2 linked regions of the Schizosaccharomyces pombe genome follow. The protein of the gene in region 1 purifies or fractionates together with the protein of each later gene. This does not show direct contact. Each region holds a gene or a part of one and is shown on either strand. Other genes may lie near its edges.

Region 1 (5,512 bases):
TTTGGAAGTAATGCTGTAGAACTTGTTTATTACCTTGCATACCACAGTGATCGCATTTTTGGAACAGTAGAGGAATTGCCGACTCCGGTTTCCCCTGCGAATTCCAATAATGATAAACAGTTAGATGAATCGAAATTCCAAGCAATTGCCATGAAAGAAATGCCGGAAAGACACCCTAAGGAAATTTTACCTGGTCAAATAGAACGAGAGGCATACGAGGATTTACGACGCAAATATCATCTGACTCTTGCAAGGTTGGCTCAAATGACTCGATTAAATGAAGATTCTAAAAAGTCTATCCCTCTGTTGTATGATCGCTTCAACCATGATCTTAAGCTTATAAAGCAATCAGTTCAAGCCAGTTTAATTAGAAAACAATGTGAACTAGATACCGCAAAGTGGACTCTTGAAGAGTATGAATCCAAGCTAAACGCTAAGGAAGGTTGTCAAACCAACATATTTATATAGCCAACTAGTCTATACTACATCGATTATTAGATTATTTGTTTTACTATTCCTTTTTTAGATATCAATAGTTATTTTTTTTATCCTTCAATATGTAAGTGAAAGTTAATAATACTCATCAAAAAGTTTTCTCTTATTTTTATAAATAGTATAGAATTGGAATATGCTACACCGTTTAAAATCTTCAGTTATGAAAACTAAGCATATAGTTTAGAACATATGAGAGTCATTGACATTCCATTGGAAATACTATAATTTTAAATATGCCGGAATGGTGTACTCAAGTAGAAATTGACGTTATGAAGGGAATGAGAAAGAAAGGTCTAAGTATAAAAGAAACTTGAAAAAAGCCTTTTTTAAAACGGCATAAGAATTCATAAGATAATGATTTAGCGTAGATAAAAAGAAAGCAAGCCTATATTGAGACGGAATAAGGCTCATGATGGAACTTAGTTTGCTTCAAATTGTTTACAAAAACCATGAGCTAATTACAAGGAGATTAAAGGGTAACGACGAAAGCTATAAAAAACAGCTATACACTTAAAGTGTTTTCCCAATGAATTGAGTAAGGCAATATTAAGATTGCCGCTGGGTCTCTTGGTACTTATTGAGCACTTCATTTATTTCATCTGACTTCCATATTTTGCAAACCATTTTGTTTTTCGTGGTATCCTTTGTTATTGTTGCAAATTCAATTTTTTCATGAGTTAGGGAGTTACTGTCCAACGTTTTACTCAAAAATTTCACGGCCATAGCAGAAGCCTCATCTAAGTTTATATCATCCTTATACTCCTGTCGCATTAAGCTTTGAACACTAGTACTATTTCCTCCGATACTATTTGCTTGCCAGCTTCCGTAATTTCCAGATGGATTAGATTGGAATAGCTGATATCCACGAATATGATCCCATCCAGCATATAAGAATGAAACACCGAATGGACGTAGCCCACCATACTGTGTATAACCTTGTTTGAGGTCACAAACGCGACGAACTAATTGCTCACAAGGCATCTCTTCATTAAAAGTCTGCAAGTATTGTTGCCCAACCCTTCTAGCGTAGTTAATTAGGATGTTTGCATCTGCGGTAAGCCCTGCCACAGCACATAACATATTGTCTCCTATATGATATAACTTTTCTGCGGATTCTTCTTGTTCTAATAGTTTGCTGGTAACCTTCTTTTCAGCAGCTAAAACAATTCCATCTTTAGCTACAATCCCTAAAGCAACGCCAGCATGGTTGATCGCTTCCAATGCATATTCAACCTGGTATAAACGACCTTCAGGTGAAAAAATAGTCGTGCGAGAATCGTAGCTTCTTGACATAATGAATTTGGTTGATGACAAGTTCGAAAATGCGCGAAGCACTAGATCACGAACATTAATGAGGTCTACCGAAGTGCGATTACCACACTTGCTTTATTCTTTATGTGCTTACTACACTACTATAACAGGACTGACTTTTACCTGTCTTCTAATACAATTAATCTATTATGATTTAAATTAGTATGTTGTTAATCCGCTTATTTTTACAAGCTATGCTGTACAACAAATGTCTTTATAAATGAGAGCTATTTTTACGATAATCAATTTACCTTTAGTACTTTCATATCCTCAAGATATAAAGTTATCAGTGTAGGTTGCTAATAATTAAAATCTGCTTGTAAAAATATTTGAACCAGAGGAGTCAATACTAGTGTAAAAATGTAGCTGCTTACAAATACTTCCAGCCTGCCGTTTAACGATTTACCACGAGTTATGAATTGCTCGTAAATTTATGCGGGTTGTTGTAAATTGACAATATTAAAATTGAAGTTCTCGAAAATGTTTTATTATATTGTACTTGGTAGACCATTTCATTAACTTCTTATTTGTTCTAAAGGAAATACTTGGGAAGACGCTACGTGCGGTGCTGTTATGAGGTTTTTGTAGTATATTCAATAATGTTAACTACACCTATGAATTTATGCAATTTATACAGATTTTTTTTAATAGTTTGTAGAAATTTTTTTGTAATTGACATAACTATTCAGCTGGATTTTGCAAAACTGTTCTATCTATTCTCACACACACGCCCACTGAATACTACCTAACATAGTGTCGAACTTAACTTCTTGATTGTACATATCTTAATGTCACAGCCTTTGCCTCCTGGATGGACTGAACATAAAGGTAAATTTAATGAGCAGTTTATTTGCTAACTCATAGCACCCAGTGGGATTCCTTATTACTGGAATGCCGAGTTAAAAAAAAGCACTTACCAGCGCCCAAGTTTCATTGAGAAAAACCATTCATCTTCTGTTACTGCTTCGCAAGCTTCTTTGGCGTTTAACACAAGCGAAAAGCTGTTTGTTAATGAAAATGCTGAAGAGCGCAAAAATTCTCGAGATTTGAGGAAACAATTACCGGACAGACCAAAATTCAAGTATGTGAGGCGTAAAATTTTGTTATTAACTTTTTTTTTAGAAAAAGAATTCCTAATAATGATTCATGGGTGGTTGTTTTTACTAAGAAAAATCGGTATTTCTTTCACAATTTAAAAAGCCATGAATCATATTGGGAACCTCCTTTGGAAATTAGTAAAGACTTGAAGATATTACGTCTTCCGATACGGAAGCAAATCAGTAAAGATTCCTCACAGAGTCAGAACGTTGATAGTGGTAAAACCAACCACGAAGAAATACATGAATCTAGGCATTTACAAACAGAGATTGAAGAGCCCTCTGGTTTAGAAGAATCATCGGAGGAATCCGTTTTATATTCTGAAGAATTTTATGAAAAATCTGATGAAGAAGAGGATGAGGAAAAATCACACTCCGCTGAAGAGTTGGAGTTTGGTGAGGAAGATATTATGTATCAACTTCAACAATTGGATGATGAAACAGTTTCCTATGATATACAGGAACAAGCTACAAATTTATCTACTGATGATGCTAGAAGAGTATTTACTGAACTTTTGAAGGACAAAAACATCGGGGCATACCAACCGTGGGAACTAGTTTATCCAAAGTTATTAGACGATGATCGTTTTTACGTATTAGATTCGGGAGAGAGACGAAAAGAGGTGTTTGAGGAATATTGCAAGTCGGTGGTTTCTACCAAAAAAATTACGCGTAGAAAAAATACCTTATCGGATTTTTGGACTTTGCTTCATTCACTTCCATCTACCTTGCTATGGCCTCAATTTAAACGTAAATATAGAAAGTCGTCGACTCTTCAAATTCCAGGATATTCGGAACGTGATTTTGAGAAACTTTTCCGTGAGTTTCAGATTCTACGAAAACAGCCTATGCAGGACAAACTGTTAAATTTTAAAAAGCTATGCAAGTCAAAAACTGTAGATCCTAAAAACCCCGACGAATTCACAGAAAGCATACTTAATGACACACGATATGCCGTACTGACGCGTGAAGAACTGGATTCCTTGGCTTGTTCAAGTAATTAATGAATTTTTTATTAAATAGGTGCTTAGAGAATTTCTCATTTATTAATTTATTTGGAAAAAAATTATTTTTTTTCGCGTACTCTTTTAAGCAAGTAGTTTGTCGACGGGTGAGTTTCTTTGTTTACCATCTACTACAATTATGAAATTTCATCCGACGCGTCCTTTGGGTTATATTTCGAGTTTTTTATTATTATTTCTTTTTTCTTTACTAGTGAGTCTACCGGAGATGTAGAATCATTTATGAAATATTCGAATGTGGCCTTTTCCGAGGGGTTAGCCGGTTTTGATTCTTTAGCTCACGTATATCAAGCACTCTTGAAAAAATCCACTTGCTATCAGGAAGTTGCTGCAACTTTAATTTCCAAATGTAGCTTATTGAATACTGAGTTGACTATCGATAATCGAATTCACTCAGCCATTCAAATGACTCTTTGCGATTTTGAACGGTCTCAAATTTTGGCTCCTTCAGAATGCGTTCGTGGCTCGCAAAGTGAATGTGTATCGAAGTTGGAGTCAACTTCTACCTGGTGGCTTTCATTCACTAGTCACTTTCATGATGTAAATCACTTATGCCGGTTAGCAAATCTGGAAATGCAAAAAGGTAAACTTTAAATAAACTCTAACAAACTAACAATATAACAAGAATTATCAATCGAGGTGAATATGAATGTAACTCTTGTGCAAAAGCAATTTTTGGAAATGGTAATTTTGCATTTGCGAAACTTTGAGAGCGTGACAGATAAAATGAATCAACGTATTGATAAGTTTGATGGAAAATTTAATTCAGTTATCGAAAATTCTTTCAAAGATATCAACTTTCGTGTCAACCAAGAAATTATGGGCTTAGTCGAATTGCAAAACCATCAACAGGAAGGAATGGTACAACAAAAAGAAATACTAAGTACAATCAAACAACTAAAATCGGAAATATTTGATATAAACTCCTTTTTCGCTAATTTTATTGAAGAAAGTGCTGGTTATTCCAATAGTTTAATTGAAAAATTGAATGAAAAGTTTACCTCAGAAAATGCAATTGCTCTTTCCGCTATCGGCAAATATACCAGTGAGTTCTCTGCTTTTATGGAAAAAAGGATAAAAAATTTAATTACTACAACCGAGGATTCATTACAGCAATCAGTGCAATCCAACATCGATTTTGTTAACTCAGGTTTTCAACCGTTATACGATCTTACAATTCAATTGAAAGAGGAGCTTCAATCATTGAAACGTTTATCCTCTGAGCAACAGGTTAGTTTTACTTAATGGTTTTTATATTCATCGTTATTGCTTTGTCTAACAGTACTGTATAGAATTTGCAACACGAACAGATACTTCAATGGAAGTCAGACTTCTTAAATGTCAGTAAAGATCACCTTAAGGTACTTCAACAGTTAAGGCCTCTTATTGACATTGTTGAGAAGTTTATGAATGTATATTTTAAAGGATTGTCCAACATTATTAGCAGTTTTGCTTTTATAGGCTTCACGCTGTTCGCTACCTTAAGCAGTTTATTTTTCAAAGTTTTAAAAATACATCGCCGACCGATTATTGTATTCGGCTCCTTATCAATAATCTTTATTCATATTTACTGCTTTAAGATTACCT
Region 2 (4,259 bases), on another chromosome or scaffold:
TTATATATCCAGGTTTGTTAATAAGTTGTTCTTGAGGCCTTATTTGAATAGAAGTATTAGGTGATTGTAGTTGCGATGAAGCTTTGACAGGAGATACGCTGCTTGGCGTTCGTTCTAGTGGTCTTGGTGTATTAGTTTTGGAAGCGTTCGCAGAAAATCTAGACTTTAGTTTTTCTTCACGCTTTTGCAATTCTTCTTCTTCTTGCAAAACTTCTTCTTCACTAGACGCATCATGGGAGGAAGCATAAGGGTCCTCATCTTCCTCATCACTCTCATAAGCTAAATTCTTTTCAAGCAATTTTAAGTATCTTTGCAGCTTTTTTCCTTCACGCGACATTTGTCTATCATTCTCCTCTTCAAGGTCGACATCTTGATCAGCTTCACCAAACAAATTGGCAGTTAGCATTTCCTTTTTAATCTTGTCTTTCAACTTCTTATTATCTTCTTCATTTCCTTCCATAATAGGTGCTTCTTCATCGTCAGCGAATTCCTCGTCATAATCTAGTTCATCATCACTTCCACTAGCTCTCGGTCCCGTTACAGGACGTGCATTTGGAACCGTCTTAAGTTTATACATGGGTGAAGCAGAGCCTGCCTCTGCTAAGTTTTCTTCACTCTCCTTTTTCATAAACCAGCGAGGAATCGGAGTTTTTTTATTCATCTAAATGGGTTAGACAAGACCTGATGGAAATAAGGACTGACCTTTGCCTCCGCTTCATCAATTGAAAGCGTTTGGAAATTGTTACGTTGATTAAATCGATAAAATCTATCAGTTGGAATCACCTTAAAACCATTTTCCTATAGAGTAAGCATAAAAAATCTTAAATGATCAAAAGATGAATGATAAACATCCAACATCTTCAAATGGGATAAAAACTTACAGAGAACATGAACAATACATATGCAGACGATTGGCCGCCTTCCATCGTACTAACCCATGTGTTTTTTCCTTCAAAATCTTCCATAATCCAAGGAGATAACTCCTCCTCTTGTAGTCTGCGGGCCTGTGGATCAACTTTGACGACCTGGCGAGTTTTCCTTTTAAAGGCATTCTGCTTCATGTTTTGAGCGCCACCGTAAGGAGCGATTGAAGCGATGTTCACGTTACTGGAGCTTCCTTGTTCTGCATTTTGTTCTCCGTTTGACGAAGATGGAGCATTGGGGTCTCTGCGTTGCATTTTTATGGGTGGCACAAAGGATTTGGAAGGATCAATGGCTTTGTTAGAGTGAAATTTTAATAAATGGTATTTAGTTGTTTTTCTTTCACTCTCTGGACACCATGAAAGCTGGAAATCCAAAAATTTTTGCTGCGATTGTGTCGAAGCATTATTTTGGGAGTCAGGCTCCTCAACTTTGGGTTTCTTCTCATCAGGATTTTCCTGCTTTACATTTTCAAAAACTTTTGTCTCTTGTGAATCCATGTTCTCCGATAAAATATGTCAATACTGATCTTCCGCCGGTGTTGGAAGGTAGCGAGTTAAGAAGCGCTCAGGTAAGAAAATATGCATTCAGCACATATGTCAAACGCCGACTATATTGCTAAAAAGTATTTACGAAAAGATCAAGGGAAAAAGAAAAAGAAGAAAGAGAAGGATTTTGTAGAAATTCAGGATGAAGATGTCGCTGGATGGGACGATGACAATTCATTTTCACTAGTCAACAGAGAACTCACATCTTTGCATGATGCCCCTACAATTGTCGCAAATGAAAGCCTTAAAGATCGAGATATTGATGCTATTTATCAGAATATAGAAAAAACTACTAATAAACCTGCTCAGTTGTGGAAAGCTGTGGGGAATGATGAAGTTGTCGAATCTGAACAACAGGATTCTCATGATGCTGAATCAATTCCTCAGTTCGGTCTGTTAACTGGAAAGCAGGTGACCTTTAAAGCTGAAGAAAGAAGAAAGAGAGAAGAGAAATCATCCAATCTTGATGAGGAAGAGCTTCGCAAAAGTCGCGAAACTGTTTACAGAGATGCCACAGGGAGAAGGATAGATCTGGTTCTTGCAAGAAAAGAAGCCAAAAGAAAATTAAAAGAGAAAGAGGAAGAAGCTAGAAGACAGAAGGAACAACAACAAGGTGTGGTTCAAGTGCGTCAACAGAAAGAATACCTAAAAGAACTTGAAAGGCAAAAAACGGTGCCATTGGCGCGTTATGAGGACGATCCTGAATACAATAAGGAATTGAAAGAAAGGTCTCGTTGGAATGACCCAGCTGCTTCGTTTCTCACTAATAAACCTGTATCATCAAAAGCTACTTATCAAGGATATGCGCCTCCCAATAGGTTTAATATACGACCTGGCCATCGTTGGGATGGAATTATTCGTGGTAATGGATTTGAAAATAAATGGTTTCAGCGCCAAAATGAGAGAAAGGCACAAGAACACGAGGCACATATGTGGGCAATTGAGGAGTAAGTAATCAGTTTTTGAATAAATCTCTAACGAAATCAGCATGTAAATATTTAACGATTTCATTATTTCTTCTGCTGAAAATGGAGGAGACTATTTGGTTTCATGTATATGATATTGTAATGCGAGTTGAACATAATCTCTTCTAGTTTACGAGTGTCAACCGAGGCACAATACTTGATTTTCCAGATTCTGTCCCATTTCCTTTAATTAACTAATGGCTTTGATATTTACCTACAAAAGCAAAACGCTTATAGCAAATAGCTTTATTGGGAAATCGCACACCACGAGACAATGGTAGCCTTATCTATACTAAAATATTTTTTGCTAGTTTATATATATTTATTTTTAAATTTCTGACGATTTCTTAATCCTATATTCAATTATGGGTCATTAAACGTATGAGTATGAGCGACCACGGCTGTTAGTAGTAAGAGGGTTTGAAATATCATCCATTCAGTTATTTCTCTAAATTCTGAACACTTTTTACCAATATTAAATATCATTTCCCTATTGCTGTCCCTAAGGGCCCAAATAATTCACTGCTGATTCTGTGAATTCATATGTATTGGCTTTTAAATGATAGTAAGAGCTAAACGAGAACAATCGATGTTTGAAAATAGTATTTTAAAATTTTTAATTTTATACTTTTTAAGCCCTTTCACATCCACATAGACAGACTTGACTTCACACTTGCTGTATACGTAAAGCAAAGCTTTTTGCATAAGAATTTGTAATTCCAACCGAGTACAAGGATGATTCAAATACTCTTTAACGTTTTACTGTTGACCTGTTTAGTATGAAATATTGTTTTTAACAATTAAGGTTCGGTGAACTCGGTGACTTCAATTTCCTTAGTTCACCGAGACAGATTCTCTCAAACGCATTGTGCTTGTTTACATCTTGACCATCGCCATGACGGTTGCGTCTGACGATTCACCAAAGGAAGCTAGAGGCATACCTTTTTTAGATCAAAAGTCTCGTAAACTTGCTAATGAGTTGTTGGAACCATGTCTTCCGTTTATCCAGTTCAATTTGGGTGAGATTGAACAACGCGCAAAACATTACTTGAACACCGTTCCTACTAGTAAGGATGGTAATACAAAAGCGTAAGTTATTTGTATCCTATTAGATATATTTGTCTAATGAACGATATAGCCATTATTTGCTTGCTGGAAGCGGTATTAATGCCGAACAAACATGGAAGAAAATTGAGTCGCTCTCTCTACAAGTAAGACCTCCCACTACTCTCGAGTTGTCCTTTACCGATGTAGATATGTTTTTGAAGTATCATCGAGAAAAAAATGTTTTAAATTCTTTGGAAGCATTGGTACAAAACACCCAAATAGCGTTCGATCAATATTTGGAAGAGGAATGGCGTTCCAAAGCTGCAAAAAGCAGACCCTCCTTTGATAATATTTTACTTGAAAATAAAAAGAGAGTATCCTTTTATCCTTTCTCGGTGCAACGTTCGCAGAAGTTTGCTTCCACTTTAAAAATGTGTCTTGAGGAGGAAGCACTGCACGGATTTCAATCAAAGCTTGTCAGTTCTTTTTGTGAGGTTGCAAGAGAATTTGCTCATGATACAAAGTCTCTTCTCCTTTACGAATCCTGGAAGTTACTTTCCTCTGTTATATTGGATAAGGATTCTGTGACAGTGTTTGGCAATAAAGGCATAATCTCAAAAGCCTTTGACATTGAGACTGAGGATGGCTCGGTTAACTCTCGGTTCTATCAAAGGATTTCTGACTGTTCCCGTAAGTTCCTTGAAGCTCAATTTTTTGAAGTTTTGAATAAGGAAATTGCAAAAACCCCCCAGGCTGCTTTGGTAGGCGGTGTTCCTTC

What was found. Proteins that work in one complex are often made in the same cells at the same time.
Region 2: the proteins of dre4 (region 1) and cwf26 purify together in Schizosaccharomyces pombe (affinity purification with mass spectrometry, with the first as the bait; one large-scale study listed by BioGRID). This does not show direct contact.

What each region holds. Positions count from the first base shown.
Region 1 is NC_003424.3:423,436-428,947, forward strand, and holds dre4 (splicing-associated factor Dre4), read left to right. Parts: upstream 1-2,542; 5' UTR 2,543-2,594; coding exon 2,595-2,634; exon of another isoform or gene 2,635-2,670; coding exon 2,671-2,887; exon of another isoform or gene 2,888-2,928; coding exon 2,929-3,907; 3' UTR 3,908-3,980; downstream 3,981-5,512. Other genes in the region: RhoGEF Gef2, read left to right, coding at 1-468; pre9 (proteasome core particle subunit alpha 3), read right to left, coding at 1,042-1,788; nuclear membrane protein Tht1, read left to right, coding at 4,148-4,508, 4,551-5,155, 5,218-5,512. UniProt on the Schizosaccharomyces pombe protein: Component of the spliceosome involved in mRNA processing.
Region 2 is NC_003421.2:2,161,703-2,165,961, forward strand, and holds cwf26 (protein Cwf26), read left to right. Parts: upstream 1-1,510; 5' UTR 1,511-1,517; coding exon 1,518-2,416; intron 2,417-2,456; coding exon 2,457-2,463; 3' UTR 2,464-2,803; downstream 2,804-4,259. Other genes in the region: transcription factor TFIIF complex alpha subunit Tfg1, read right to left, coding at 1-661, 703-798, 882-1,421; nuclear pore complex component nup97, read left to right, coding at 3,330-3,523, 3,573-4,259. UniProt on the Schizosaccharomyces pombe protein: Involved in mRNA splicing.